Linked DNA regions of Drosophila melanogaster. The protein of the gene in region 1 interacts with the protein of each later gene in a pairwise test. Each region holds a gene or a part of one and is shown in the gene's direction. Other genes may lie near its edges. The genes, in order: mRpS26, CG14071, CG14232 and CG12679.

Evidence for each region.
Region 2: the proteins of mRpS26 (region 1) and CG14071 interact in a two-hybrid assay, tested with the Drosophila melanogaster proteins (one large-scale study listed by BioGRID).
Region 3: the proteins of mRpS26 (region 1) and CG14232 interact in a two-hybrid assay, tested with the Drosophila melanogaster proteins (one large-scale study listed by BioGRID).
Region 4: the proteins of mRpS26 (region 1) and CG12679 interact in a two-hybrid assay, tested with the Drosophila melanogaster proteins (one large-scale study listed by BioGRID).

What each region holds. Positions count from the first base shown.
Region 1 is NT_037436.4:18,103,006-18,110,944, forward strand, and holds mRpS26 (mitochondrial ribosomal protein S26), read left to right. Parts: upstream 1-3,573; 5' UTR 3,574-3,656; coding exon 3,657-3,865; intron 3,866-3,961; coding exon 3,962-4,430; 3' UTR 4,431-4,494; downstream 4,495-7,939. Other genes in the region: Polr3D (RNA polymerase III subunit D), read right to left, coding at 4,957-5,522, 5,575-5,643, 5,716-6,095, 6,155-6,387; mus304 (mutagen-sensitive 304), read left to right, coding at 6,910-7,545, 7,625-7,939.
Region 2 is NT_033779.5:10,884,641-10,892,668, reverse strand, and holds CG14071 (uncharacterized protein), read left to right. Parts: upstream 1-3,741; 5' UTR 3,742-3,890; coding exon 3,891-4,301; 3' UTR 4,302-4,393; exon of another isoform or gene 4,394-4,400; intron 4,401-4,451; 3' UTR 4,452-5,024; downstream 5,025-8,028.
Region 3 is NC_004354.4:19,701,243-19,710,553, reverse strand, and holds CG14232 (uncharacterized protein), read left to right. Parts: upstream 1-6,294; 5' UTR 6,295-6,415; exon of another isoform or gene 6,416-6,491; 5' UTR 6,492-6,535; coding exon 6,536-6,665; intron 6,666-6,723; coding exon 6,724-7,151; intron 7,152-7,356; coding exon 7,357-7,821; intron 7,822-7,880; coding exon 7,881-8,300; 3' UTR 8,301-8,566; downstream 8,567-9,311. Other genes in the region: meso18E, read left to right, coding at 1,405-2,402, 2,950-3,018, 3,090-3,681; CG14230 (uncharacterized protein), read right to left, coding at 4,212-4,378, 4,441-5,548, 5,615-5,904, 5,966-6,143; Tcs4 (Threonyl-carbamoyl synthesis 4), read left to right, coding at 8,826-9,010, 9,066-9,311.
Region 4 is NC_004354.4:20,372,440-20,379,907, reverse strand, and holds CG12679 (uncharacterized protein), read left to right. Parts: upstream 1-3,385; 5' UTR 3,386-3,515; coding exon 3,516-4,088; 3' UTR 4,089-4,144; downstream 4,145-7,468.

The sequences.
Region 1 (7,939 bases):
AGCCAAGGCTAAGAAAAGTCAAGACTTGTAATAAACTCGAAACAAAATGTTGTAGAATATGTATGGATACAGTTGTCCACAGTTATCATCTCTGAGTTTAAAGGTTTGTCGCCATAACTGTATCCTCGACTAACATATACCTATTGCTCTGCAAGCAAATTTTAAATGACTTCCGGTTTGCTTGTAAGGAAAATAATAAAATAAAAAATAATAAAATATAAATTTGTTTATGTTTGGCAATGCTTCTCTAAACCTGTAACACACTTTTGAATACACATTCTATTGAGATGCAAAAAGTCAAAGAAATATCTATCTTTTTTTATTGAAGATTACTATCTCTATTCGTGTATCTAAAATATGACAATCAGATATAATATATGGTAATCGATTGCCATTATTTTCTCAAACGAGATATTCCTCAATCATAGTTTTCGTAGTTAAACAAGATTCATATTGTAAGTTTAACCAACCATTTCGTATTCCTTCCACATTGCCAAATTCGATTGTTTATTATTTAATTTGCTCTTGAGGGCGCAATACATAAAACGGTGTCCCCAAAATAGACCCAATGGCACAACTCTGTCGTGCCTCGGAAACTTTTTATTATCCCAGTTTTATGAGCACGTAAAACGCTTGGCTAAGAATAAAGCGTTCATTGAGCAGGCCAATACTTTCGCTTACTTTGGGGCTACAGCTAATTTTACGTAAGCATATCCCACCTCGAATGTCCTCATTTCCCTTCCCTGACTTGACTTTTCCTCAGCTTAATAGGTCAACTCGGTCAGGATTAGGTCACATGGGCTGCACCCACTTTTCGGTTGGCCAAAAAAGGCTAAGTTGGTAATTAAGTTTGAGGTCAGTTCGTCAGACGAGAATCTAAATGTGGCAGGTTGTTGTCGAGTTTGCCAGAAGCTCTTATCTGCGAGAACGAAATGTAATGGATTCCCTTGCGTGTCAGATTGTCATCATTTGCCTGAGATCATCAGAAGGGAGTCGTAAATATAGTTTGTCAATCTTTCGCTTGGCTGGTCGCTCTGATGGCAGGCTAAGATTGTTAAAAAAAAAAAACACTCATGACATGACCAGGAAATATACTTCAAGTAAAGGGATTTAGCTTAAGTGCTGCAATTTTCTTAGTTTTTTAGAATTCAGAAAAGGGTTTTTTTATTACTAATTTGCTAGTTATTGTTCTACTGGTTACATGGAGTTATACTCTTAAACATTATTAAAATTTGAAAAGATTTCATGCGTTGCATATATTTGATTACTTTGAAACAAATTTTTTTGCGCTAGTCTTTATAAGTTTTTTTTTTTTTTTGAATTTCACGTTTCGCTTTTGTTTTCCTCTTAATTAAGTGCAAAGCCGCACTGCGACAGTTTGTGACAAATTTGTTGTTGTTTTTTCTCTTCAACTTGCCTTTCAACTTGCAACACGGGCAAGAAGGAGAACTGTAATTTGGTTTAATTGCCTCACAACATTTGCTAATTAGGTTTTACAGTTGGGGGGAACTCTTATCAGAATTTGCGAATGTTCTCCAAGCGCGGAAAAAGTTTGCATATTTAAGTTGAAGTCAGCGCCCATTCCCCAGATTTCCCCCTTTTAGCCAACACCTGCTGAGCTGCCGTGACTGAAAGTCATTTAAACTGTTTTACTTGCTGATGTTGTTGCTGCTGCTGGCATAATTATTTTCCTACACATTTTTGTGTTTAGATTTTCAAAGACCTCAGGTTGGAGATGGGCAAATAAATTAGCAAGCAGATTTTGCACTTGCTCAGGCGTTCAAGGCAAGACTTTTGACTTCTGCGTCGCGTGGTGCAGTGCCCCGAAGTTGCAACTCTTTTTCGGAATTTTTAATGAGCGTTGTTGATAAGCCAAACGAGGTTATGTTGGTGGGAAAATAAGTTGTGTAGCGGGAATTTACTGGCTTAAATAAGTTAAGCTCACAATTTGATAGGTAATTTCAAACTATCACAGAAGCTAACCTAAATAGTTGGGAATATTAAGTATTTATATTGAAATAAAGGGAATTAGATTAGTACATTGTCGTTATCATCCAACAACTTTGCATTCTTTCTGTATTAATCTTGTTTAAATCACGTTTTTAGATATAAAATCTTATCTTAAATGCTGGAGAATGTGAAAGTAAACAGATTGAAAAAGTTGCATAAGATAAACATTCCAACGATTAGAGAGCAGTAAACTTTTAATCGTACAGTTAAGGTACACTAATTAAATTATAAGAAAAGAAGATGTGGCATTTTAAGGCACTAAGTTTTAAAAAGGAAAGTCTACATTACCCATTTTAGTTATTTAATTAAAAGAGAACAATAGAACCCCTGTTTCGTGCAGTTCAAGCAATTGAACAAATTCGATATGCAAAATTGATCGCCTTATAAGAATTTCCAGCTACGAAGCGATCCAATTCGATTCGATTCGATTCTGTGCGTGGTAAGCGGTTGGGATACATGAGACACACATATGAGACAATATTTACAGTCCAACCAGTGCGAATTGCCATTCCAATCAGAGGTAAACAAAAATCAAAAGCCAATGTGAAAAAAAATGCCAACAAACCTGTACGAGTTGTTCGCTGCCGCTGCGCTGCTGAAGCTCTGCTCCCGCCGACGTCTGCGTCGAGAACTTCGGCTTTAAAGCTCTCAGATGGAGTTTTTGTTGTTGTTCTTGCTGCTGCTGCCTTTTTGCATGTGCAAATCGAAAGAGAGCGAGAGAGAGAGGGAGCTATGGAGCTGTGGAGCCCACCAATACTCGGGCTTTTTGGACAGGTAAGCGAAACACGTCGCAAAGAGCAGATGAATAAGAAGAAGACGCAGTAATGAATGATCGTCGCTTTAACTTTTCGCTTGCATCGGTATGCGTGTGTGCATTTCTGGGAGTTAACTTTTAACACTTTTAGCCTTGGCAAGAGATATATACAATATGCACTTTCCACACTGCTTCTAACTGACTTAGCTTTTCAATAACGCACACTATTTTTTTAAACACGAACACACACACACTTTCAAGGCGCGCCGGCTGCGCAAGCCACTTTTGTTTTAAGTTAGCCCACGTACAAGAGGCGAAACAGCGAAGTTCCGTAGCTCGGATTTTAATGCGGCCAGCGCGGCGATATATCGTCGACTGAGTGAGCAGTTACTTTTCGTACCTTCCCGTCAAGTTCACCTGGCCAAAAGCTTTTAAGCCCGAGCTGAGCGCAGCGCAATTGTGAGAAACGCACTAGTGCGTTGGAAGTTTGGCTATTTTCACAACAGATCTGTCTGGACTTCAAAGCTTGTATCTTTGGACAAATAAAAAACATTCATAACCTGCGCAATTTAATTGCAAAAACTTGTTAGCAACGCAAAATTAAGCTGTACCTAAAAATATATCTATGTAGCTGAGTATATAATTATATTTTAATATGAATATGTACGACAATAAATTTAGTAAGTTGACAACCAAATTACTATTGCCTTTCTATCTGAATTTGATTTGTTAAGATTGATTTATTCCTTGATTCTTCGATTTTCCATATTGGTCATCACTGACGGAACCAGCAATCGAACTGCGCGGAACCAGTTCACCGACAACAGAGTTGCACAACAGTTCAGCAGCGGCAAAGTAAAAATTACATTTTGTTAATTAAACTGCTTTTATAATGCTGCGAGCGGGATGCCAGCTGCTGACGCAGTCCACCCTGCCCACCGGGAAGACGGTCGGAAATAGTTTCGCCCTCGAGTTCGTCCGCTGGCGCAGGAAACCGCGATGGCTGCCGGTGGCCAAGAGCAAGATGTTCCGCGTGCCTGAACGCAAGAAGCAGTCGGAGGAGGAGCGCACGGAGCTCATGAGGCTACACAACCAGTACAAGTGCGTGCACCAGCGCCAGATTCTGTCTCTGGTCAAAGATAATTTGTAATCGGTTTCAAAAGACGTTATACAAAACAATCTACGCCTTGATTTCAGAACGCAGCTTCGCTCAGTGCGTCAGTTTCTAAGGGAGGAAGTCGTCCGCCACGAGGAAACATCCACAGCAGATCACATCGTGCTCACTCCCGAGCAGGAGGAGGCCGAGTTCCAGAAATGCCTGGATGCCAATGCTGCCTGGAACGCTGCCATAGCCAAGGAGCGTGATCAGCGATTGGCCAAGAAGCGTGAGGAAAAGGTGGCCTATATTCAGGAGCGATTGGAGGCACAACAGCTGCGCGAGGAGGAGCGCAAGGAGCAGGCCAACCAGCGGGTGCTGCTCGAGATTGAGCGTTCCAAGAACTATATCACTAGGGAAAACTTGGATGCAGCCATTGAGACAGCGTTGGCCAATCCCGTGGACCACAATTTCGCCATCGATATGGCCGGTAATCTTTACCACGGACGAAGCACCTCTCAGCTCCCGGACGCCACTCCCGAACCCAACCAGCAAGTTTTGAGTAATTAATTAATGCAGTGTCTTAGTTTGTTGTTACATTAAAATGCTTTTTATAGGTTTCTAACCAAAGTTGAAAGTCCGTGTTTTTTTTTATTTTTCTGCACAATAAACAACACACTTAAGTATATTTGATTTGCGCAAAAGAATAGGAATTGGATAACCTAGCTATTGTAAAGCGATTTGCTAGAACTAGAATACTTTTCAAATTTTAAGACCGTATTTGAAATTATAATAATCACTTAATTTGAACATATAATATATCAACAATCCATTAACCTAAAAATTAATCTTGGGTCATTGCATTAAGTATTGATGGCTTAATTTACGTTACATATCCCCAAGTTCCAAGCCCATCTTTCTTGGAGTCTCTTTTATGTTCCATATTCGAGTACAATTGTTAATAACCTTTTGAAAAGCATTTGTATTATAAAAATTTCTATATTTAACTTTTATATACGGCATTTAGAATAGGAATAACTTAAGCTTAGGCGCAGCCTATTTACTATATTACATATCTACCATGGGGAAGTGGGTGCTACGTGCCCGGTACTGGATTCGTTCGCTTGGATGCCGCATCCTGCTGCTGGAAAAGGTGCACCCAATCTGGAGTGGCCTTTAGTTTGGCTTGAATGGGTCCCAAGTTGATCATGTTTCCACTACGTTGCTCGCGATTGGCGGTTACAGACATGAGTTCCTGCAGAAAACCCGGATCGAGACCCATATCCAAGTCAAAGCGTGTGTCCCCCAATTGGAGTTTAACGCGACCGGATTTGTACCTCAGAATCTTGCCGATCTGCCCTTCTTCCAGCTGCCGTAGTACACTGCCCTTGGGTCCGTTTGAGCATTTGTCTGCAGGACTTGCTGGTTCCGATTCACTGGTGGCCTGATGATCTCCTTTAGACGGTTCCGGATCTTCGGAATCGTCGCCCACACATGGCAACACATCTGGCAGTTGCATGAGAAAGATCTGCGCTTCGCTGGAGTCCAGAAAGTTACCAATGGTGCGTGGGTAGCGACCGTACTGCAGCGGAGGTTCCTCTAAACTGGCTGCCTGGGCAGCCACATGCAGCTGTTGCAAATGCTGGGCCACTGCCAAAGTGTCTAGGAGCGAAATCAAATTAGATTATGCCATTTTTAAAGCTTAGCGCCTTACCCTTAAGTGTTGAGGTTGAACTGGCGATTTCTTGCTTCGCAATCGGTGTCTTCTGGGTGACCCAGAGTCCTAACGTTTATAAACAAATAAAGCATGAATTTCTTCTGCCCGTGTGCATCAAAAAGTGCTTGTAAAACGTACCCTCTTTTAGCAGGATGGGCCTGAGTGCCATCTCAGTCTTGTTAGCCTCCTCTTCGCTGAGCTCGCCGCCACTGGCGTCCGACTCGCCCAAGAGCTCCTTGATCCGCTCGGCCTGGCTCTTGTCGTCCTTGCGATCCACCCGTTTCCTGGTCACGGACACCTCCTCACCGCCCCGTGCATATGCCGTTCCATTTCCTGTGGACCTTCGCACATGAACATCGCCTGCTCCTTCGGAGAAGAGTCCCTGGGTTTGGATGAGCGTGGAGTTGCCCCCGCCAGCGGAATTTCCACCTCGACCACGTGTTGCTCCAGTGCCGTTGCCACGTCCACCTCTGCGGCCGCTCCTTGGCTGCGTGGTGTCCTTGGATGTCTTGACATTGCTGTGAATCAAATGAGATGATGAAAAGAATGACTCCCCCTGGGCCATTCCACAACTCACGCATTTTTATTGCGCACAGCATTCAAATTGGGAGCAAAGACCTTTTTGCTGGCTGTCCCAGCGCCGCGCCCACCAAGGGTCAAGTCGCGGGCGGGGGTCAGCCTGGTCATTCCGTTTAGCGTCTCCAGTGGGCGTGCACCGCCACCAGACTGACCATTATTCGTGGTGGACCCACTGGCTCCACTGATGGTCGAAGCTGCTGCTGTGGTGACCGTCATCCTCTTCGCTGGCATGGCGTTCCATTCGCGCCGCCCGTCACCTCGAAAATTCGACCGAAGTCGCTGGGTTCTGGTTTCCCCGTAAGTCCTTTAGTTTTGGGCTAGAATTTCCGCAGAATTCTTTGATTTTCCTTTGAGGTTAATGGGAAAGCTGAGTCGATACACCACATGCCGATACACCGCAGTCGATAGACTTGAGTGTAGCCAGATGACTTTGGTTTTGCTCAATATTAATCGGATTTTGAAACTGTGATTGTAGCGGGTTTCTATCGGCGCTTAAAAAAAACCAGCATAATAACAAAGAGCGATATTACAAAACTGGCTTTTTGTTGCAGTAAATCCTAATGTAGTATTTTTCTATGCAACATGGATTCGAAACATAATCTCTATTTTGGTTGGGCAAATCCATCGTTGCGATCAAATCCATCTGGCAACGCTAGTTGAGCTCTACATTTTATAAACAAAGCAAACCGGCAAAATAATCTACGACTTTCCATGGCCAAAAAGTAACGAAATATAGCGGAAACTGGAGGAACCATGGCCAAGCGCTTTTCTGCCATGAAAGACTTCGCGCGGTGCAAGAAACCGCGCCTGGATGTTAGCGTTACCCGCGGATCAGCGCGACCCAGTCCACCGAGGAACAATTTCGATGGGATTCTCTGGGACGACGATGACGATGTCATCCTGATGGCCACCCAGCTGGCGGAGGCGGAAATCGAGGCGGAGGAGCGGAAAAAGAAGGGCGGAACAGAGGTGGACATCGGCAACAGCGAGGTCACCTTCAGCGAATTTGCACCCACTTTTCAGGGCTCAACCAGCACACAGCAAATGTTTCCGCCGCCACCGCCGCCACAAAAGAAGCCTACTTCCCTGGATATGGATGCGATTTTCGCGGATGATGATGATTTCGATTTTCTGGCCGTTACCCTCATGGACAGTGAGCCACAAAAGATGCCGGAGCCGAAGACCAGCACAAGTAGGATAACTACCAGCAGCATAAGTGTTCAGCAGAAAACCACGACCACGACGACCATCAATGCCACGCAATCCCGCCAGCAGGAGCATCAGCTAAAGTTTCTCATGGATAGGATTGAAGCCCTTAAGCGGGAAAACGCGCAGCTGGAAAAGAATTTGGGCGACAGTAAGGAACGCAATGAGATCAAGTCTGGTGAGGTAGGTGGACATCGGGGTGGAACTATAACACCGATTCTAGACCTTACAGAAACTAATCCATTTATATTTATTTCTCTAGGTTTCCTTACTTCGTGATGAGCTGAAGCACTTGCGCCAGCAGCTGCAGGCTAGCAAAATGGAAAAGCTGGCTTTGGCCGACGAAACGAATCGGGATTGCAACAAAAAAGTGGCAGAAGCGGCCAAACAAATTGCGGCCAAGGACATCGAGTTGAAGATTAAGAACGCCGAGTTCTCAAAGTTGAAGACACAGCAAAAAGCCCATGAAAGAAGCATGAATTCCAGCATGAGCATTTTACAGGCTGCTCCAGATCCTTTGGAGAAACGCTTATCACTTCGCTTGAATAGGCTTAACATACACAGATCTGTGCCCGGG
Region 2 (8,028 bases), on another chromosome or scaffold:
TTGTTGCAGTCCAAGCGAACATTTTATTTCAACACCATAGGCAATAATAACTGAGTTTGGCTAAAAGCTTGTGCGAACGCTAATTGAGTTGGCTATGTTCGGGAAATGTTGGCCAAAAAAGCGGAGGCGGGGCTATGGCGTTTTTGGCCATATACGCAGAGTTGATGGGCCTAAGCTCCAAGTTTATGGAGATCCGAACTTTGGTTAGTTTTCAGTGCTAGTGCGTTAAAATGCCAAACTGCTGACTCGAAATTTGTCACGCACAATCAGCTGCGGTGGTAAGTGCTGACCGGCCACGCCCACTACGCCCACACAAACACACACATACCCCCATGGATTATGGATGGGTGGTTACGGGGTGGGCGTGGCCACGTCGCCACGGTTAGCTGCTAAATCCGCACTCAACACTTTCAAGGTTTCCCGCCTCGTTCTCCAACAGTAATGAAAAGTCCATGCGCGCTTTTAGTGGCCCAGTTGACAGCTGCCAAAAATATTTCTATGGGCCTCTTAAGCCATCAAAACCCGTGCATTTAATTAAACTGCGGCAAAAATATTTAATAGCCAGCAGTGTAGAAGCCAAACGTGGAATGGTTCACCTTGAATGAATCCTGGGAACTAAGTGAAGTCCTTCAGTGGTTCGAAAAACATATGTCCCGCGAATTAATTATTTTTTTTCCAAATAAAAAACACTTACTATTATATTAATTAAACAAACTAAAATGAGCAAGTTGTTAATTAAATCTATTATAACAGCTGTTTTACGAATTTGATTAATTAAAATGAAGAAAAATACAATTATTTAACCGTTTCCAAACTGTCAATTAACCGATGTTAATCAAGTTTTCACAATTAACCGCCAAATGACAGCTGAAATGAACTTTCAATTGGTAAATCAGCCAACCATCCAGCTAGAATTAAAATTAATTAATGGCATTTGTTTCTGCAACTGGTTTTGCATGCAAGCAATTATTGAATAACGATTTTAATTGATTTTCAACCAGAAATTCACAAAACCCTCAAAATATCAGCCACCTCCGCGAAAGCAGACTTCCCCAATTAAGCACCAAAAAAAAGAGGTTACCCGGATTTTCATAAAAAATACTATCTACTATATGCGAATGCGTCTATAAAAAACAACACATAGCAGCATGTTTCATAAAAAAATTCGTTAGTTTTTTATCTTTTGCGCTGTGAGTTTCGCATACCTTCATATATTCCAAATTTCATTTTTCCCATCGTTGAATCCAAACCAGCCAAATGTTTGTCAAACATATTGGGTAGATATTTGTGCGCATTTGATTTTCATTTTACTCAATTTCCGTGCGAAATTTTTCTGTTGAATTGAACATTAGATGGGCAACATGTGTTTGATGCATTTAGTTATTGCAATTCCACGGTTACCTGTCACACCAAAAGGGTTTAATTCAAAATAGAATTTAATTAGGTTAATAAGAAATATATAATTAAGTAATCTGAATGTTATTTTAAATATAAATGAAAATTGTTCACGTACGTGTTAAATTTCCAATAGTTAAGATTACTACTACTACGTTTTTATTAAGTCTGTCTTATGTTACGAGCTCCCATTTATTTTCTTAACAAAAAGTTTCCGCGTGAGCTCTTCAGCTTACTCGACGACTTCATCTCCTGGTTTCCGCTGCTGAGTATTAAGTATACGCCCCGAGCAACAATGATGATGCGCAGGTTTTTTGTATTTTAACTTTCAGCGAGGCAGCTGGGCGGCAAGTAAATATAACCTGTCCGGAGTCCGGACTCCACCCTTCCCCCTACTTACTATCATCCTTTACCGCAGGTAAACCACAAGAATACCAACCACCCAACCTCCCACCCACCAGACCCCCTAACACGTGGTCGGTCTCCTTGTGAGCGCACGTGTGTACATTTTTAATTATGCGAGAGCACACAGAGCGACGAGATGAAAACAGAGCAGCGTGAATGTCGGGCAACTAACTTATTAAAAAGCACTCGACCGGCAACGTATATATTTGCCAAATAAAGCGGAAATTAGGGCAAACTAGGTGCACGCATTCTAGCCCCCCCCCCCCCCATTTCCTTCATTTCCCAAGGACGAATATCCAAGCCTATCCTTCCGTTCGCAATTTTCAACTGACCACCTTGTGGCGCAAGCAAGAAGTGGAAGTTACTCAAGCTAAATTTTCCCGCAAGTGATTTGCATAACTGTAGGCAGATGCCAATGGCTGTTGCTCATCACATTGTTTGGCATTTTAAGGGGCGAGTTATAGAGAAATGTTCGGAGAAAACCCCATGAAATCCTTCAGTAAGCCGGCTTACTGACTGACTGAAGATAACCTAAAAGTGTGCAAAGCCTATTAAGCTGGCAAAGCCAAGAGCAAACGAATAAATGAAAAAATCCAAGTGGATAGAATTGTTTGTGAACTACTCGTAAAAATGTAACTTCCATAACTGAGTTGGAAATTGCTTAATTTGACGGGGCTGGTCCGAAAATCGAGTCTACCGAATATCATATACCGTGCAGGAGTTTAAAACGGAAAAGTCGAAGATGATCAGATATCAGATAGTAAAAATGGTAGCCATTTTTTAAATCATTGTGATATTGTTAACAATACTTTTAAGCAAAAAAACAAAGATATATTTATTAATATATATTTAATATGTATTTTCATTATTATAATTGGTACCAGTTTCGAATGCAAATTTGCATATTAATTATTAGTGTAGATGTAATTATAATTCATTGGTCTTGAATAAATACATGTGTAATATTTGTTTGCTAAATAAATGAAACAACATACCCCTCATACTACCTCACAATCAGAGCACAAAACTACGCACCATAAATCTTACGGCCAGTGGAAAGGGACTGGGAATTTGGGCAGGGCAAAAATTATTACATGCCTCATTTGGCAGCGCCTTGAAGAGTCTGCTTATTATATTTTGATTATTTTCGGCACGCGTGTTTCGCAGGACCTCAAAGCCAGGATCTCCGCGTCGAGAGCTGTAAACAAATTCGTGAAATACGCAGACTGGTCAAGGGGCGGATGTCGATTTGCAAGGACGAGGAGGATAAACAGGACAGCTGGGTTTTTTTTTTTTTTGTTTTTTGTTTCGGTTGCATAATTTTTCATTTTATTTTTGGACTCGTTTGGCCTGCTTTTGTCCATAATGAGATATCTCTATCCTCCTTTGTTTCTTTTCATCATTTTGTCCATTGTGTTTCGGTGCTTGTTGTTTTTGCATTTCGCGAAATGCCGCTGGGAAATTCTTGTAACCAACAAAAAAAAAGGAGCAAAAATCCACTGGGCTCAAATGGCAATGATGGCGTCGAGGTGGTCTTATTAATTAGGACACGCGCCCTGAGTTGTATATATTCCCAAATATTCTCCACTTCAAATATACACGTGAACCTCAAAAGGGACCGCTGTTATTGTTATTTAAATGCATGGCAAGATTCTCTTTCAGAAAGCTTCCCTTGATTGCCAAATTTTGATTAGCATATAAATGCAGAAGGGACAAAAAGAAACTATATCTTTGTGCCGTTAACTCGTGGAAAATTTTAAACTTCAACACATTCTTGTCCACTAAAAAGAGATAGTACGAAAAATAACTATTTGAATGATAGTTTACAATGCTTCTGCTATCATCTACTCGTAATGCATTTCGGCTTAAACAATTTTTGAATGTAATGATCTATTTCCTTTTTTAACTACAGTCTTTTTGTTTTTTCTCGAGTATTCAGTGGACGCCAGCAACACATATTTACCAATCATAAGTAGGTAGCTAGAAACTGTTCGGATTTAAGGAACAAATTTATTGCTAAGTTAAATCAAATACTGCTCCACGTAGAAAACCACAAACTCCTTTCAACGGCGTAACTACACTGTGCAGCAATGTCCAGATCGGCAAAGGGCTTTGGTCGTTTAATCAATCCGGGCGTGGTACTCCATCCGGAACTGCATCAAAAGATGGCCGACTTTGAGGCCATGACCATCGAGCGATCTGATTTGGATCACGAATTGAGCCGATTGCGCAAGCAGCAGGACGATACCGAGGATAATTTGGCAGAGGCGCTGGCCGAGGACGAGTTCCAGTGCAATTTGAGTGGCCAGCCATTCGTTGCTCCCAACGAGGACGAGCTGCAGGAAATTCTGAGGAATCACCTCGGTAGCATTATCAACAAGCTGGCTGCCACGTACGAGCGCCTTATTTACCTGGATGCGGACATCAGGAAGCTGAAGGGAGTCATTGAAAAGGCCATCACAGTGGCTAATGAGGAATCGGCAGCAGCCGCCTCAATGTGAAGATATGTATTTAACCATTACATACGTTGTACTTCTACATATGTGTATCTTGAAAATTTCAGTTCGATTTAATGTGCAAGTAAAGTTTGCAAGTATGTTAAATGATTCGAAATTGCAAGGGCTATGTAAACATGTATTTGTATTCTCCAGCTTTGCCATATGTACCCGTGTGCCGTCGATAATCAGTAAAATATGTGTTACTTTTGGATAATGAAGTCCACGTTCGATGCAACGCGAAATCCATTCACACATTCCGCTGGACATCTTAAATCATTTTGGGTGAAATTAAAGCCGCAACAATCTCATTTCCGGTAATTCTTTATGCACTCGCGCACAGACAATCCAATGCGAGCCAGAAGACACTGCAAATTTAATTGCGTATACGCAATGTTGCCACTGCCGTCGCGGAAACAGCATCCGCTGCGGCAGCAGCTACACTCTGCTGACTCTATCGTTAAGTGCATAAATTCAATAATGCCGAGCGTCTGGCGGTGTCAACGCGCTGCAAATATATAGACTCGCCGGATCGATAAAGCTGAAGCTTGAAAATTTATGGAATTTCCTGTGCATTGAAAATGGTCGCCATTTACTGAATATATTTAAGTAAACTACAGCTCAAAACAAAAATGCATATGTTATATATTGACTTTACATAAAACCCCAAAATGTTTAGAAACATAAGAAATTAATTCTACTTGGATAAAGTTAAACTTAAACAATTCTATACCAAACTGTAACTTTAATTGCCAAGGGGACCACAAAATGGTCTGCGCTTACATGTATAAGGATGCAATTGCATATTTGTTGTTACTTTGCTTTGGTTAAACATTAATAGTCGGAGAATTGAGAAGGAAGTCGAGGTATATTTGAAGAAAGCCAGACTTATGGGCCCTGTCCTGTACTCTAATTAATTAAATTGAAGCGTTCGACGACGAGGTAACAATTTCAATTTTATTCCCGTGCCAGCCAGACTGGTCAAACAAGCCAAATGCAAATTTCCCAACCAGACATGGGTCTTAACAAGAACATTTGCATGAAGTCAATCATCTCGACCATTCTGGCCAGTGAACCGAAAATAAGACACTTTGGGTCTGTACCGCTGTGACTCTGATTGCCTTTCATCCCAGTCAATTGGAAAATTCGCACTAACAAAGCATTTGTGAAGGTTCGAAAAATGTCGGATGTATTTCATATTTTTACTTAATTTTGATTCCTGTTTGTTAAAAGCACATTTTAAAACTCCCTCGTTGCGCTAATCGCTTTCCAGCCAATCTGGAAATGTTGAGCTCATCAATTACAAGTGCCACAACTTAAAAACTTGGATAATAATTTTTTGAAGGTCATCCTTTCTCGTCGTTTGTCTTCATTATGATAAATTGACGTTGCGAACATATTTCATCTGAGCGCTGAAAATTAGAACGATGCGATAATGAGATGTTATTAATATCAACTTGCGACTTATTTAGTGACAAAACCCTTTTGGTCGCCCAAGAGAATAGCATTATGCAAAAATGCGAAGAGTATAAGAAAATGTTTAAACTGGCACAAAACCCTTTAGGAAAAAGAAAGAAAGAATGAAAAAAAAAAGACTAAGCCGCCTCTTGTTGAGCAGCCTTCAAAAGTGTCAAGAAAACAAATGACGGTCACCTTTTTTTTTTGTTTGCGTTTCTAAGCCAACCTTGAATAAACAGAAGTATGAGCAAGTGTTAAACTTTCTTTTCTTATACCCATCAGCGTTGCCTTTTTTTTAAGGCTCTCGCCTCGAAGCCCTATACCATGGGTTTTGTAACTTGAGAACATAAAAAGGACTATGGCACAAAAACTTCAACCATGATTTGACCCGCTATACTCGTTTATGAATATATATATTTTTTTTGTAATTACCAGGCAACCGATTTTTCTATTGATAATTGACGAATATACTTCAATGCTACACATACAAATATAAGTGGCAAAAAAAGAAATGATTGCTTAAATTCATGTAGTACAATTTGTTTTCAATTTGCTTGCCAAACAAACACATTTGGCACACCAAGAAATGCCACCACAGGCATAAAATACGGTCAGTCCGATAAGGTTGGAGATAAGAAAATTTGTGCCATGTAATAACAATGGGGAAAATAAAAAAAAAAAAACACCCCGGTTACAGCCGCTACACACATAAATCAAATAAATGGCAACAAAAAAAAGTGGACAGAATAAAGCAAATATAATGTAAGTAAATAGTAAATTGAACACACTATTTGTTTGCAGGGATTCTTTGTGAAAAGAAACTAAATATATTATCTACGCAAAGAAAAGATAAGTCTTTGTAAGCCTTGTTCTCTACATTTTTTTGTCACACATTGTATTTAATTCGTAGGTGCTAAATTATAATTTTCTTGCATATTCTCAGCCCATTCTGCTGGCGTTGAATGTGTGTGGTTTGCACGAGAAAACCCTTTGTGCGGCTTATTCAATCACATCAATTTAATGGCAATTACATGTGCTCAGGCTGGGCATGATAATATGCGCCCGAATACCTCCTTAGCCATCCCCCTTTCCCACCTCGAATCACCTCCATTACAAGGTCTGGCCAAGTGTATTGAATTTCACTTAGCTAATTTGCGTAATTGCGCAGCACAGCCATCATGTGAATGCAGCATGTGGATGCAGAAAGAAGTCATTTGGGGCGACAAAGATTGTATAAAGCCAATGGTATAAGATATAAGTATCTGAAGGTATACCCATTAGCAATGCAGCAGTACGCAATAGTCAAGTTCCTCGAAACATTCTCAGTATGAGTGATGCTTGAAAAAATCCCAAATTGTCTCCAAAGGACAATTAATAGCAGACCCCTATTCACTTTCAAACTTCATTGAAACCATCTTTGGTTGCCGGTGGAAAGGCAATTTGTTGCCGCTGGGATTTTGTTAATGGCTCAATACGAGCAGCAGCATCTGCACTTTGCAGCCGGCAAGTGGGGCAGGAATTTTCGGCGTGGCGTTGAAGCCCCAGATCCACAGATCCCTGTGCTCCAATGAACCAAACACCCGGCCAGATGGTCAAGACAAGTGACAATGAGAAGTGCAAGGCTGGCAGGTGGCAATTTTGCGGTCTGGCAGGTGACAGGTACGACGTGTTCGGCAACAAGTTGCGTCTGCAGATCATTGCGGATAATTAAATATTTAATGTGGTCCGTGGAATGGCAGTACTGTGAGTACTTTTAACACTACATAAAGGTTATGAACGCGGCGGCATAAAAATTAAGTCATAATGCGATTTGTGGCAATCATAAAGGGCACAGCGTGCGGCAACTACATTACATTGTGTGCTTTTTAAGGTCATCGCGGAAAAGGGCGATAAATTCACTCTCTGTCGCATAAAATGCGAGGCGAGAATGCGATTGCTGAGCTCATAAATCGGCACTTGAAGGGTCGGTAATAGGGATCATAAAGTCCGAGAACAAAATAATCAATTTGTAGCCCATAACGCCAAATAAATTGCAACTAAGCTGGGCCCACGGGCACACGTGTCGTATGCGTCATTTGCTAAGAGTTGCGAAATTAACACGCATACGACGGCACTTAATTTGTCACTAAATGGCTGCCCAAAATGCTCGTGGAGTGGTAAAAACAGGGCACAGTACACTTAGAAATCTGCCTTCTAATATATTTGATTTGATTTTAAATATTTGCTAAATTATATAATTTTTCCAAATTGATTATTGATCAGCTTTCTGGGGGTA
Region 3 (9,311 bases), on another chromosome or scaffold:
ACAGCTTATGACTGTAATAGTCGAAGAGTGTGAAAAGATCCCGTTTGAATATGACCTGCAAAAACTTGTCCAATCCATGAAAAAAAGGCTTCAACTTGTAGCTAAAGCCAATAGGGCACATACTACATACCAAAACTTTTAAAATTTTAATAAAATAATTTTAAAATTTAGGATTAAACTTTGATTTAGTGTTTTGTGTAAAGAGTTTCTTGACAGTCCCAAAAGTGTGTAAACTTGGAATTTGTTGTTTATTTTCTTGTATATTTAATATTTTTAATTTGTTTTTTGATTTATAAGTAAAATAAATATTGTTTAATTATATTTTATAAAAAAATTGCGTTTAATTAAGCAAAAAACCCTTTATTTTTAGCTTTAAAGTCAAAAATTCAACTTATCTTACAGTGTGTAAACAGTTTCTTGACAAACTGTATGTACATATAGTATGTACATGCATGTACATAGATTCTCCCAGATACGGAAGTGCAGCAGATCCGATCCGAACGCCACAGCCTCCGCACGGATCGCTATCTGCGGTAGTGGACAATCCGTGAATATCTGCGAAACAAATTTCGCCGCGCTTAGTCATCATCGGCAGCTCATCTCTGCCGCGGGAGGAAAGATTTCGTAGAATCTAGACGGCATGAATGAGCTTTGGCCATCAGCACGATGATGCACAAAAACTTCTGGTCAAGATCATAATGGCATGTCCATCTATGTATCTCTTGGAAAACTCAGGAGATATTATCGATGTTTTGAGCTAGAGATATAGATAAACATAATCTTACTGATTTTCTTGGATCTAGTAGACAATGTTTGTAGTTCATATATTATATGGTATATTTACATACCATGCGTTTGAAATATACAATTGAAATGAAATATATGTATGTGTGTACATTGAAATAATTGTGACAAACTTTAACTGCACAGATGTAGCTATTTATAAAAGATTTATGTAAATACATATAAGTATCTGCATATGTTTTGACCATTAACCGTAATAAATTTATTAAAAAATATTTATGATTATTGATATCAAAATTAATATATATATATTTATGATATATACGATACATCGGTCCATAGTTATTTCTAATTATTTAATCATTTATTTTGTACATTGGATTGGATTATAATTTACCTACCATATGAATCATATTTAAGATGCCTTATGTATGTACATACATACATACTATATAAAAATCTTAACGAAACAACTTGGTTTTTATGAGCTTTTCAACGTTGTAAACGCCTGTACGATTTATTAACTATTAAAACTAAATAATAATAATGAATTTAACACATCACTATTATCATCATATCTATATATTTTTTTTTGTATCTTATTGTTAGTAGCAATTGTTTCTTATTTTCCTTAAATTATCCTGTTGGATATCCTTGCAGGATACGAAGAATCCCCCGCCGGTGACGAGCAGCTATCACCACCAGCGGGCGCCGCGGACGCCGGAATCGTACTTCAACGTGCCGGAGTCGGTGGCCCTGCTGAACATCGTCAAGTCGGAGCGCATCCAGAGCGCGTTCCAGTCGAACCGAAAGAACCATGCCAGCGTGTGGGAGATGGTCGCCGAGGTGCTCAACCGCTTCAGTGCGCGGAAGCGAACGGCCAAGCAGTGCTGCAATCGGTACGAGAACCTCAAGAAGATCTACACGCAGCTGAAAAAGAATCCCGAGCGCCATGTGCGCCGCAACTGGCCGTACATGTTCCTCTTCAAGGAGATCGAGGAGCAGCGCGGCGAGTGCTGGGGATCGAATGGCAAGCGTCTGGCGCTCATAACCAAAAACCACAACGAGCTATCCTACTACCAGCGCCGACGGCAGGCGGCCGAGCTGGGAGTGCTGCTCAACAAGGACAACCTCACCCCGCACCAGCACAGCCTACTGCAGAGCCTCAGCCAGAGCCAGAGCCAGAGCCACTCGCACGCCCACTCCACGGACTCCTCGCAGAGCGGGAGCAAGCTGGACCGCTTCCTGCCCAATCACTTTGTGGAGGCGCAGCTCAGCGAGGTGGCCGGCCCGGTCGGTGGCTCCGCATCCGGTGTATCCGGCATGTCCGCCGGCGGCTTCGACGAGAATCCCCTCCAGATGCAGATGGTTCAGGCAGCTGCTGCCGCTGCCGCCGTGGCCGCCCATAAGCGACATGAGCTCCAGATGGCCAGCGTTGGCGGCGTTCAAATGACGCCCGAAGACGACGACGAGGATGAGCCCCAGCGGCCAGCATTTAAAAACCACCTTCACGTCCTGGGTCATGGCCACGGCCTCGGCTTGGGCCACGCGCCAATGGACGACTCTGGCGAAGCACCCGACTTCGAAAAGGACTGCAATGGAGCACTCAACATGCACCACCAGAACAACAATCACAACGAGAACCACATATCAATGAAGTGAGTAAAAGTTGTAATAGATTTCTGGTAAACTATGTAATAGACAGAGGAAGGGTTTTCAATCTCCAAAATATAATTGTTTATAGGCTCTTGTCTGTCCGTCGATATTTCCGTAACTAAATCTCAGAACGTTGCCACGCCCAGTCTTACGCCCACCAACAGTTTCGCAATCAAAAGACAAAAAAGTTCGTTGCAAGATTGAAAATCGTAGTGAAATTGAGAATATAGATTACTTTATGTTTCTTCCATTCAATTTAAAGATGTTACTTTAAGTGTAAAATCTAAATTTCGATGCCGATTCCGATCCTCTAGGGATTACTTACATATACTGCAAACTACAAACCTAAAAGATACTTCACTTCACTGATAGACTGACTTCACTTCATCAAACAAACAAAGTTAAGAAATAAATCCTTTTTACTCAACAATTATCAGTTCAAAAGTAATGGTGTCCATTTAATTGTTAATGGGGAAAGTCCAGATCGATTATCGGGTTGCCCCGTTCTCGAGATCCCGCCTAAGACTCTCGCTTCTCTGCCGCCCACAGGTCGGAGCCACTTTCGGAGGGCGAGTTCAATCCGGACGACATCCAGCTGATGCAGACGAACTACAATGGGTGAGTGCCGGCGGCGACGGAAGCCACCTTCTTCGAAACCGATTCCATTGATCAAATCCATGCTTGCACAGAGCGCAGAACTACTATTCGCCGGGCATGGATGCGAATATACTGCACCCCGATGTGATCGTCGACACGGACATCCTGTCCGACTGCTCCTCATCGACAACGCTGAAGAAGAAGCGCAAGATGTCCACCTCGACCGACGGCGACAGCACCAATTACGAGCTGATCGAGTATCTGAAGCGGCGCGAGAAGCGGGACGAGGAGCTCCTCAAGCGGATGGATGCGCGCGAGGACCGGCTGATGAACCTGCTGGAGCGCACGGTTGTGGCCATTGAAACGCTGGCCGTAAAGCGGGCACTTACGTTTCCAGTTAATCCAACCAAAGAGAACGCGCCAGCGACAGCCAGACCGTTGTCTCCGCCACCACCAGAGGCTCAGTTTGCAGCGCCGCCAGCTACGCAGGAGCAGCCCACCAGTCCGGAACGCAACGGCATTGCGACAGGCAGGAGCGGCACCATTCCCGTCGCGAATCAGGATGCCGCCATTGAGGTGCCAGACGACGGCGATAGCGGTGACGATGTTCAGGTGAAGGACAAGCTGGCCAAGCTGACACCAAAGGCTGGCGGCGATGAACGGACGGATGGCAGGCAGACGTAGAATATAATGCATCCACTACTCGCTAGATCTACTTAAGACTTCTACCTACATACATATATATATATATAACCCTTCCCTACCGCCACTCCTCTCACCGGATGGCGGCAGAGGATACAGTGCCAAAGAAGAGCCATGTCTCGAATTTCAGTTGAGATTGCCATTTTTACTTAGAGAGCCTACACAAGTGCTTAGCGGACGAATGAAACTTAATTGCAATGTTGAATATTAAGCGCCGCAATTTTTGTTGAAGCGATAATCTTAATTCACTTAATTAGCTTTTAGTTAGGCGGAATCCCACCAGCGGATGCCGAATGAATCTCAACAGAGCCGGATTCACACCGCTACGATAATCTAGTTGGAGCTGCAACGGGGCTCAAATGCATTTGTGCAGTAACTAAAGCACAAACATTTCATTTTTTTTTTTTGTAATCTAGATGAATACATGTACCATTTACAAAAAAAAAAAAGAACAATATTGGTTTATTTTACACAGGATTATGCTTAAGACTAAGGGTATAATTTAACCTAGATCAGTTTTTTCCCTTTTTATTCCGCTGCAGCTTGATATCCTTGCTGGGCAGGCTCTTCTTCGCCTTGGCGATCTTTTTGGTGATCAGCAATTTCAGGCGGTTCTTCACTTGGTCATATTCGGCATGGTCAACCACCGCCTTCGTGGACTTGAAAAACTTGGCGCCCTCTGCAAAGAAAAGACGATCGCTTGTTGAGAATGAAAAAATACGCACAGATTCACGTTCTTACCCTTGAGACGAGGATCGTTTCTGGGTATGAAGAAGGACTCCAATTTGTTTTTGTTCCTCTTTTGACCCGACTTCTTCGCTGGCTGGGCCTTGTTCTCCTTGCTGACCTCAAGCTCCTGCTCCTGCTCCTGCTCTTGCTTCGGCTTTACTTCGGTTTCGTCTTCGCTGTCGGACGAGTCGTAGGAGAACGGATTGAGAGTGGCCAGTCCGAGCTTATTGGCAGACGTCTTGCCCACCAGGATCTTCTCATGGCCCAGCTTCTCCAACTGGTCCTGGCGCTTGGCCACCTCCTTCTCCGGTGCACTGCCGAACATGTCCAGCAGGCTGAAACCCTCTCCACGCGTGTTCAGCGAATCCCTCAACGTGTCGGTGACAATGTAAAAGGCCGTCTTCGAGACGGCTGAAGCTTGACTGTTGCCCGCGTCGGCGGTCTTGGCTTTCGTACTGGAAGTCTCCTCCTTCTTCTCCTCCTCCTCCTTGGGCTGCTTTTGGCGCATTAGCTTCTGATGGCCCTCCTTGGCCGGATCGAAGCGCAGCATCTTTTTGTTCTTTGGCGACTTACCGTCCTTATCGTTCGCACTGGTGATCGCGTGTCCCACAACCTGCTCCAGAATGTTCATGTGCCATTTGCGCTCACTCTCCTCCGGCTCAGGCTGATCCTCCAGCTCCGCCTCTTCCTCCTCGTTCACAAAGTTCGATGTGATGCGGAAGCGGGGATCTATACTCTGTTTGCTCTGCATCTCCACCAGACGCTCGCCCTTCTTGCCCTTATGCTGCGGCAGGACGATCTGCTCCTCTTCCTCATCGTCGTCGTTCTCGAACAGATCCCGCTTTTGTATCTTGGCTTTCTGGACGGGCTTGGACGCCTCCTCCTCCTCGGCGTCGCTGAATTTTATTCTCTTTGCCTGACTGCCTTCGACTGATATCACAGATAGCGCCTGCTGGATGGCTGACTTCTTTTGTTGGTGTCCCTGACGCATCTTGTTGAGCGACTCCTTGCGCTTCTGTTCCGCCTGGCTGACATTGGCGTCCGGCTTCTGTTTGGCTGCCTTGCGGTGCTGTTCGATGACATGGAGTGGCTTCACGTCGTGCTCCTGCTGGATGACAATCTGTGGGAAAGGAAAGGAAAGGAATTTAGCTGACAATGAGCTTGGGAACAATGAGTGCGTGCATACCCGGCCATTGTGCATGGAATTGGCGGCGCGCTTCTTGGTAATCAGCAGCTCTGGAGCGACCTCATCATCACCAATCTCCTCATCCTCTCCGAATACCCTGCGCTTGTTTTGGCCACTTTGCACCAGGAGCTGAGAGCTCGGCGCACGCACCTCGGACTCGTCTGGCTCGCCCTGTTCCCGGCGCTGGTTCTCTTCGCGTTCGCGCTTCAGTCGATCCAAAAACGATTCTTTGGCAAGAGAAACTCTTAGCTTTTCGCCGTGCAACTTCTGCCATTTGAGCTCGTTGACGCCTACAAAACCAAGCTATGGTTACTCCTTCCGTCTGGCTGTGATCTTCCGCGGATAACTTACAGTACTGGGCATCATCCGTCTGCACGGTGACGAAGGCAATCACCTTAGTGGCCCCATCCTGCTCCTTGCGCTTCAGATCCACGTGCTCTACGTGACCGTAGTCCTGGAACAGGATCTGCAGGTCCGACTCCGAGGTCCTGGTCGGCAGATCCGCCAGGAAGAACCGAGTGCTGCCCATATTATGTTTACGCTTGCAATGCACGTGTAGAATCCAAATCCCGGCAAGAATTGCTGTGGGCCAGTGTGACCGCGGGCAGATAAAAACTTACACTTAAATATAGCCACAATTCCAATTCCCAATTGCTTTATACAGGTTTTTAACAAGTCCAAGCAACACTAAACCAGCTTTCAAATTTATTTAGCAACTTTGTAAATAGGCAAATACATTAAGTTAGACAAAAATAATCCCCATCGGTCAGTGTTGCAAGGCGAGCAATACAATTACTTTAGGTGCGCAGCTGGCTGGTCACACTGGCAGCAGACGTCACAATAAATTCTATTATTTTGTTTTGTTTTGTGCGAAAAGTTTGCAGGCCAGCAATCGTGGACTAGCCCACAAACAACGGCAGCATGGCGAGCGGGACAAGCGGCACAAGCAGCAGTGAAACGGCCCAGTCGACGGACATGGCACCATCATCGGCCGAGAAGTGGGGCTTCCCTTTGATTGAGCTCTACCGCCTGGCATTCACGTTCTACAAGCGTAAGAGCAGAGATCCCGGCACTAGCGCACCAATAACGGCTAATCTCACATATTGCAGGGAACTCCGGCAAGGCCATCCACTTGTCGTACGAGGACAACCTCAAGCTGATCGCCTTCAAGCAGCAGGCGGCGCTGGGCCCCTTCAACACGAGTCGCGCCCCGGCGCTGGGCGTCCTGGACGTGATCGGACGCGACCGGCAGCAGCACTGGCAGCTGCTCGGTGAGATAACGCGCGAGCAGGCGATGGAGGGGTTCGTCGACCTGCTGGACACAATGTGCAGCGCCTTTCGGCCGTACATTGAGGCCGTGCGGCAGGACCGCGACGAGACGCTGCGCAAGGAGCTGCGCCTCATGGAGGAGAAGAAGGAGGCACGCGAGCGGCAGGAGAACGCCCAGCAGGAGCTGCTCGAGGAGGGTTACAAGGAGGAGCTGCAGCGCCGCCAGCTGCAGGACGCACTCAACAAGCAGACTTACCAGCAGTTTAAGGTAGCCCATCGATTTTTTCAACAACACACCGGCCCGGCCCTCTGCACCTGTTGTTGTGCTAAATAATGCATGATAATTACTGGGTGCTCGGCCTTGGCTGCGCTGTCTGCCATTGAAAAGGGGTCATGACCCAGTTCTCAGGCAATTGCATGCCAGCTCCTGTACCATTAACTTGGCCCTTCTAACGCTTACACTCGTTCCACAGCTGTACGCTGAGAAGCAGTTCCCCGGAAACCCCGAACAGCAGGCCGTGCTTATCCACCAGCTGCAGCGGGAGCACTATCACCAGTACATGCAACAGCTTCATCTGCAGAACCAGAACCAGAATCAGAATCAGAACACGGAGGACAAGGGACACCAGGAAGCAGAACACGTCCCTGGCAATAACAACAACAGCTCAACCGACTTGCCCAACGCCATGGAGGGACTGAAGCTCGGTGAGGTCGAGACACAGCAGCACCAGCAGCTGGCCGAGCAGCAAGACGGGCATGTAGAGCAGACGTTGGAGGGCGTTGGGCAGGAACAGCACGGCGAGGAAGAGTACGACGACTACGTTATGATCTGCCCGGCCAAGATCTGGACTCGTCCCGACATCGAGCAGTTTAAGACTGAGGTGTCCGCCGGCGATGGGGACGGCGTCATCACCATTGGACACGGCGACACGGTGACGGTAGGTGGCAATCAACTAATGACGAAACAAGGCCCATATTGACCGGCACAATTTTGCAGGTCCGTGTGCCCACCAACATGAACGGCAAGTGCATCTTCTGGGAGTTCGCCACGGACAGCTACGACATCGGCTTCGGCATCTACTTCGAGTGGGCCAAGCCCGTGACCAACGAGGTGACCGTGCATGTGAGCGACTCCGACGAGGACGAGGATTGCGTGGACGAGGACTACCTATCCACCACCGAGGACCTGGAGTCCGGCTCGCTGTCGCAGGAGCGCGGCGCAGTTAACAACCCGACTGCTGCCCCCAAGGCACCCATTTCCATTATCGTACCGATCTATCGACGGGAGTGCTACAACGAGGTCTACGTGGGCTCCCACTCCTATCCGGGCGAGGGCGTCTATTTGCTGAAGTTCGACAACAGCTACAGCATCTGGCGCAATAAGACGCTGTACTACCGCGTCTACTACGAGCGTTAAGAGGCCAAAATGTATTTACTTACCACTAACTTAGATGAATCCTATCTCCGTACGAACGGCTAATGTGCAAGTCCGGAATAATCTGTATGTGCGTGTGCGTGAGGTTTTGGTTTTACGTGTGCGTTGCTGCAATTCCGGGAAACAAGCGGCGGGAAAAGACCATGCCGATTTCAGACTAAACCAATATTATTTATTATTTAGTTGTAACCGACGAAGACAAGTCCAAAATTCAATTTGAAACTAATAAACAATATAAAGACAACTGTAAATAATCACTTTTCGAAATCTCTTTGCTTCTTAATGAAGAATAAATTATTCGTAAAATTCACTTAGGAAACTTCTTCATACGACACAATTGCTATTACCAATTTTGGGCATTGAAACAACTATTATTATTATTTTATATTAAATAAAAATTGCATTAAAGTATAGTTAAGAATTTGGCTCGTGTAAGGGGCCCTAACACTAACGGTCCCACGATTTGCTGGTTGTGGTTTCTATCGGTGCCTGGTCACACTGGCCATTATGCATGCACTTCGTAATTTTGCCGGCAATGGAATAGCAAATGTATTTGGCTGTGGGATCAGGCGCCGGCTCAGCTATGTCCTGGGCATCGAGACCTCCTGCGACGACACGGGCATCGCCATCGTGGACACCACGGGCCGAGTGATTGCCAATGTGCTGGAGTCGCAACAGGAGTTCCACACCCGGTGAGTGCTCACATCTCCGCATGCGGTGCCCAATGATGAACTGAATCGATTGCAGCTATGGAGGCATTATTCCGCCCAGGGCCCAGGACCTTCACCGCGCCCGCATCGAGTCCGCCTACCAGCGCTGCATGGAGGCGGCGCAATTGAAGCCGGACCAACTGACGGCCATCGCGGTGACCACGCGTCCCGGACTGCCGCTGAGTTTGCTGGTGGGCGTGCGCTTTGCACGGCACCTGGCCCGTCGCCTGCAGAAGCCCCTGCTGCCCGTTCACCACATGGAGGCGCACGCGCTGCAGGCCCG
Region 4 (7,468 bases), on another chromosome or scaffold:
ACACTCAGTACAAAGTCGTGGGCACTGATGATGACCATAATGATACACAAACAATTGCCAAGGAATTTCAATTCAATTCCCTTTAATACCCATCAATTGTGCACTTTTCGGCCGTGTTCAATTGCCTTGTGTCAAGTCTAAAGAAATAAGTCTTTCGTGATTTTCAATTCGAATAACGCTTAAAGAGGGTATATTTTTGCATGTAATGTATAAAGTTCTTTTAAAGGTATTTTTTAAGGCATATTTAAAATCCGACAACAATATGAATTTGACTTACATCAGGACAACATCAATAGGGAGTATTCCTGAGTCCGGAGAGAGTTGCCTCCATGGCGAACCATTTCCACTACTGCGTTTGTACTTTCTGTTTTTCCGCATCTTGGGTGTGTGCTTGTGTTTTTTTATCATTCCGCCTTGTTCACAGGACTCTTCGTCCTGCTGGCCGCCCAAGAAAGTTGTTCGCACAGTAGCAAAGATTGAGTTCTTATTCAATTTGTACGGATTTGTTGTTCGCCGGTCCTTTTGCAGTCCGCTCTTAAAGCCTAACCCCAAAAGCCTCCACACCACCACACACCCCCCCAGCTCAGTTGCTCCAGGTCCTGTCCAGCCACTCATCTCGGCCAATCCCAATCCCCAATTGGCCCCGGCTCGAGCCCACTCAACTTCTCATTCTTCTTCGGCTGCTCTATTGGAATTTATTTCATATTATTTTCGTTGGTCATGCCACAGTTTGGCCCCGTCAATATTTCTCCCTACCCCTTTTCCTAATCCCAACCCTAGAACACCAAAACCCGAACCCCCGAACTTAAACCACCGGCAATACAAGTTGGCACTGGTCGGCATTGTTTTTGGGGTGCGATGGCAAAAGTTCTTCGTGTTGTGGACCCAGCTGCAGTCAATTTGAGTTGACCACCCAAGGAGCACCCAGGACCATCCAGGACCATCCATTCAGGACTATCCATTCAGGACTATCCATTCAGTACTATCCTGCACTTTGGCTGGAGGCCTGCAGATGGATCAAGTTAGCTGCTAGTTGACTCCTGCTGCCAGTCCAACGAATGCTCGGGGCCAATCAATGCGCCGGCAAAAGTATGCTACGAAAAAGTTGCTGTCGAAACGGAACTGGAAACAGAGAACTGCAGCCCGCCACTCGCACTCTACGTCCACCCGATAAACACTCGGTACTCTAGGCACCCCGTTTTTTTTGACACCCTACTTGCGGCAACACAAAATACTCGAGTGTTTTACCGACGTTGTGTTTTTGTTACGAGTAAAAAAACCACCCGAGGCCTGCTGCGCAAGAGCCGTATGGGTGAGTGGACGCACAGTCAACGATCGGCCGCAGGTCATTTTTTGTATGCGGGCTGCAGTTCTCTGGTCATTTTTTGTACGCCTAAAATTTGTATGGGTGGAAGCGTGACGGGTATAAGAAATGAAGGGTAAAAGGGAATACCCAAGAAAATTTTTGTGCTCATGTCTTTGCTCTTTGATGGACTCAATGGGTGCCTCCCATTTCAAACACATAAAGTAATTGCAATTAAAGACGGCATTTGTTGATTTTTACGTTTTTTAATGTCTCAATCTAAATAATAAAAACATAGTGGGCTTAAAAAGTATCTATTAAATATAAGGACTTAATGTTGTTGGATCAGGTAGTAAGTCATCGACGTCTACCTGTTCCCCATAGATAGCGCCGATTTGTAGGAAAAACTTCACCAAATTTTTAAATCCGGCTCCGGTTACTGCAGAAAACGGCCGACAATCTTGGACAACCCATTGGGTGCATTTTTCAATAGCTACTTTCTTGTCGTTTTCCGAAACAATTTTTAATTCCGTTGGTCGTCTTAATGTTAGACAACATTTATGGCGGGATAAATTGGAGGTGTTTTTGTGTAAAAATTTGAGCACTTTCTGGCATTGCCTGCAGAACAGCCATCCGTCCAGAACAGTTTCATCTTCCTTTAAAATGTCACATAAAATGCTCCAAATAACACTTTTTCCTTTATGTTTATTGGCAACTGAGTATGTTCCATTGTTAATTTTATTTTTAACGAAATCAGCCGCTTCTGCCATTATTGTGACCTTTTCCTTTGGCTTCCAAATAATACTGAATCCTAACAAGCTAGTAATTGCATCGTAAAAAACAAAAAAGGGGCAATTAACAGCCGAGACACTGGACCAAAGACACAAGAACTCAACAATCATTATGTATGGCGCCATTTGACTCGACTACCTACGAGACCACTCGAGTATTTTTGGAAACACCCGAGTATTTTTGGAAACACCCATGTGTTTAACGGTATACCCACAAGTGTTTTTCTCACTCATCCCTTTTTAGGCACTGTGTGAGCGGCACCCGCGACGCAAAACACCGTATTGATTCGGGTGCGCACACAACGGGGTGTCTTGTCTGCATGTTCAGATTTATACTGTGTGTTTGTAAGTACCCGCGATGTGCGTGGCGAGTAGCACCCGCACACAAAATTGTAGGGTGTGAGTCGAGTGGTAAAAAAGTGCCACCCTTGCAGTTCTCTGACTGGAAAACCATGAAAATGTCCTTGCCAGCTAAATGCCACTCTCTCTCACACACACACAACCACACACACACGTCCAATGCAGTGCGGGAAATTTCTTGGTATAAACTTAATAATGCATCGGGGCAAATAAAGGAAAAAAGCAAAAGAAACAACGGCAAGTCGGAAAGCCAACATAAGTTTTGGGGCTAACTTGTTATTTTTGTAATTGGCACTTTGCAGTTTTATTGAAGCGTTGGAGCCCCGAAAAGGGCGCTCGGGATTTTGGGGGTTACCACTCCCGTCCTTTGTGCGGATCAAAATCCAGATTGGTTATTTATATACTGCGTTCGTTCAGGTGTTGTGATCGATGTTCTGATGCTGCCTCCCTAACCACTCAGCCGGGAGTGACTCAGTGACCCTGCCGACATCCATCCCTGGTCGTAATCTGAGGTGGCCAACGTTAGCCACTTTGGCGATGAGCAGCCTTTGTCCCCTTGGCATACTGGCTGCACTGGCTTGGTTATTGGTTATATTTGGTTCAGGAACTTCGGGATTTGAAGTGGGTTTGGATTAGACAACGAATGATTGCAACGAAGGAAGGGTATGCAAGCATACTTCATAATGAGGATTGTTAGTCCTTGTAGCCATTTTAATTCTCATGTTGTATGTCGTAAAAGGTAAAAGGTATAAGTATTTGAATAAGAACGAGAACCCGATACATTTGTGTATTGCTTATGATATGGCCATTTTAAATCTCAAAACATTTATCTAGCAAAACTGAGTTGATAAATCGATTAAACAGAGTTGGCCTGGACTCGGTCTTCAATGTTCTGCCAGTGGGAGTCATTTGGATTCAGTCATTCCAGACCCCAGTCTCAAGGTAGCAACTTTCAAAATTTTTAGTTCCTGTGTTCGTAACAAATAAGTGAAATCGCATATCGTGATACCAGACTGACAGAATCGATAGAATTCTCGAAGGAACGAAGAGAAGCGCCGAAAATGCATGTGGTGGGGGCACTGGTCAATCTGCTGCTGATCTTGGCCTGCATTTACACGATGACCTCACTGACCCCGGCGGACCATCCGTATGCCTTCCTGGCGGCATCCTTCAGCCTGGTCCACGGAGTGCTGGGCGTGGTTCGCTCCTTTGCCAACGAGCCCGACGAGTGCGGACGCACCTTTATGATCTCAGCCATCATACTGGAGGTTATCCCGCTGCCACTGGCGAACATCGAGTTCTACCTGGTATCCGATCAGTCGGGAGTGGCGCTGGTGCACGGCCTGTCGTTGATTCCACTGTTCTACGACATGATCGGCAAGATCAGCGAGGACTGGGACAGCTCCACGGAGACGCTGATGGACCTCGCTCTGTTGGGCAACATCGGCTCCACGTTGTATCTGGCCATCAAGGACGGCAACCATATCTACTTCGGTGTGGCTGCCACCGCGCTCCTCGCCAGATACGGCGGTGCAATTGTCGATAGCTGCAACGAGGGCCTTAGCAACGTTGTAGAGACTCTGGGAAACACCGGCATCCTGGCCCTTATGACCTACGCACTCACTGAGGGCTAATTGCTAAAACTTAAATTTGATCGGTTCGCGAAATAAAGCCAAGATGATGAATCAGCATTTGAAATTGGTTGAGCCAACTATCATTGAATACAAGGCACTAGGGATTTGTAGTTTGGGGATATGAATTACAAATCTACAATGAGAAAGGAATAAGCAATATAGCACTACTATATAAGCCATAAACCATGTCAAGGGTATACAGACTTCGGTGTGCTGCGGCTAACTAGCCTCACTCACTCGCGCGACTTCAAATTGCCAACTTAGTTGTTATTTGTTCGCTGTCTGGCTGAAGGGGCAGCGCGAAAAAGACGCGGTTCAAGGGCCGAAGGACGACGGACGACGGACGAGGGACGAAGGACTGGGGTCTCAGGACGAGGGACTCAGGAGGGCAGAGAAGGAAAGGGACGGGGCAATATTCGTGGACGCAGCACTGTGATGGCTCTCACGTCACCACTTCAGCAAATTGCGGCAATAATGCAACAAAGGTTTCTTGGGAAACACATACCAAATTGCATAAGCAAGGCAAGGCAAGGCAAGGCCACGGAAGCGGGGTGGTGTGGCCCGCTTCCTTGGGGCGGTGCTGGTGGTGGATGGATGTTCACTCCTTGGCGACTGGAGGACTGAAAGACTGAGAGACGACGTCAGTCGCTTGGCCGCCAAAGCTCTTGAACCGCCACACTCCTGCATTTCATTTTCAATTTGATTTTTTTCTGCCCTTTTCTTTTGGATCTTTGTTTTTTCCGCCACAGAATGAAGAACGAAGAAATTCCCCTCAACGACTCTGCGCCCTTGTTTACATTTTTGTTGGCTGTTGTGGTTTCCGCTTTTGGGGCCCGCGTGCGATTCCGTTTTCGTTTTCGTTGCAACATTTTTGTTTGTAATTTACTTTGGAATGCTGGCGCCACAGTCGCCGTCGTCGCCTTGTGCGGTTTTCTTAGAAAAATCTCCAGTCGCCGTAATTGCAGTGCCCGCAGTGCCGCCTGTAGTGCTCCGGACGACGGACTCCGGACTCCGGACTCTGGGCTCCAAACTGCCATTGCCGACAGGCAAATCAACTGTCACCCAGTTGCTCAGATGCGGGACCACGGGCGGTATGAGCAATTTCGCATTCCTCATACGCCGCGTGGGTCGCAAAGGGAGTGGGGTAGGTGCAAGGTAAGAAATGCGGGTGCCACTTTAAGCTTGCGTCCACAAAACATACCCAAATATCTTCGCTTTGCATAACCATTTGTCTGAAGAACGTTAGGCAGTAAATAATATATATGTACATACATATCGGCGAGTTAAGGTATGATGATGCCTGAATGTGTAACAGAACAGATTTTGCTTCTGCAATTACAATGGTGTCCCTTCAGTTTTTAATGGTTAAAATTACGCATATATATTACGAGTGACGGGTATATGACTTATTCATTATTCTGCCTATTTTGGTTGGCATACAAACAATCAGCTTTCCAATAAAAAAGACATTTTTCTGAATATGAAAGTTTTTTTTCTACATATCCCTTTTTATTTCGATTGGGTATCCTAAATGTAGTCCATCGCATCGCCACAATGTGGCCAATGCTAATATGCAGTCGGTTCCTTTATAGATAGGTTAAGGCTTTCCCTTTTGTCATCTTGAGCGGAATGTGATGTGTCTTGGTCCAATAAGAGGTCCCGAGGAAGGGCCATTACTTCCTGTCATCTCTTGTCTAAAGGACGCTCTAGTCCTTTCAGCGTTCCGATCAGGCGAACTTGAATGTTGGCATCACTGGGTAGACTCATTCACCATATTCCATGGCGCACACTTAGTCTGGGTTGACTGATTGACCATATTGGATCTATGGGGGAATTGAGGCTCCCACTCTTTCGGGATTATGTTTGGGGAAGTGGAACGGGCTGCGTTGATCAGCATCTTGATGATCAGTTGTGCTATCAATGTGGTACTTCCGGTTGGGGTTCTAGATGAGAAATAAATATAATCGAAACGGGTCAAAGCCAATTGTCAAAAATATGCAAGGCCATATAGCGCTTAACTATGTGAGCAAAGGGTATCTAATAGTCGCGACACTCGATTCTAGCCGTCTCTCCATTAATTAGTATGTAGGTAGAAGGAAGCGGCTCCGATCTTGCCATGTCCGTATCTCGTGAACTTTAAAAGCTAGACAAGCAGATTCTTTTGGCGGTCTTATATATCTTATCTTATATATCTTATATCGTATCTATCTATATCTATATCTTCTCTTATCTTATATAGCGTTTCTCCTGATTGTTTTGTTCATATATATTTTTGGAAAAGGGTCTTACTTTCTTGGGGTTGAAATGGGTTCAATTAAAAAAAACATGGCTATCTTGTTTTAAAATTAATTTAAAGTTTACAGATTTTTACAGTAAATTTGGGTGTCAAATTTGGAGTGTGATATCTATGATTTAAGGGGAACCAATTTTAGGAAAGAGATAAAAGTAAGAGCGCTATTTTCAAGACTACCTTTTTTTCTTAGCTAGTAAATCAACGAGAAATTTCAAGTCTTGATCGGGTTGTGGGCGTCTGAAGGGTCGTGGCCACAATATTTATATCATGACGAATAATAATACAAAAAAAATCAAATCATTTGTTGACAGTGCGTTGTTCTATGTTTTTCTTTTCGTTTTGTCGTTTATAGAACAAGAATTATTGATTAAGTGGTATTGATCCAATGGGATTGTGGTAGTAAGAACCCTCTTCACTGTACAGAAATCTGTCGAATCAGTCAGTCTGCGGAGCGTGGAGTCCATTTCAAAAGGCCTCTATGAACTATAAAAAGTAAATCACCCGAAACATTTGCAAATATGCACTGTTGGTCAAAATATAGGGAAACTCGTTGTGTTGAATGCCAATTAGCCTCAATTAAAGGATCATTACGGATTAGGCTTCAGTACCTTTTGCTCCGGAAAGAACACAGAACCCTTATCCTTCAGATTCCCATTCAGAATGTGCACCCCCCCAGCAGCCCAACTTCGAGTTGAAACTTCCCCCCTGGCAACGGGCAGAAGCGATAACTAACTAAATAAATAACATAAATTAACTAAATTTGTAGACAATTTAGTCTGCTAAGTGTAAAAGTTTTTTGTTTTCCCTGTCGCTGTTTTTATTTCAGTTTCTACTCTTTTTGCCATTGCCACTGCCATTGTCATTGTTGCTGTTTTTGTATTTGTTTTTTGGGCGCTGTTGCTGTTTTTGTTACTGCCACTTTTACTGGCCAAAAAAGGGAGTCGTGCAAAAGTGAAAGGGGGCCTTTTGAAGCGGAGGGGAAGCGAAGTTTGGTAACGGTTTTGTGCATTTTTGGTGCTTTTGGCGCAAAAAAGGATACGCTTGGATCGGACCCGTTTGGGTCTCCTGTCCGGTCCGCTCTTATGTC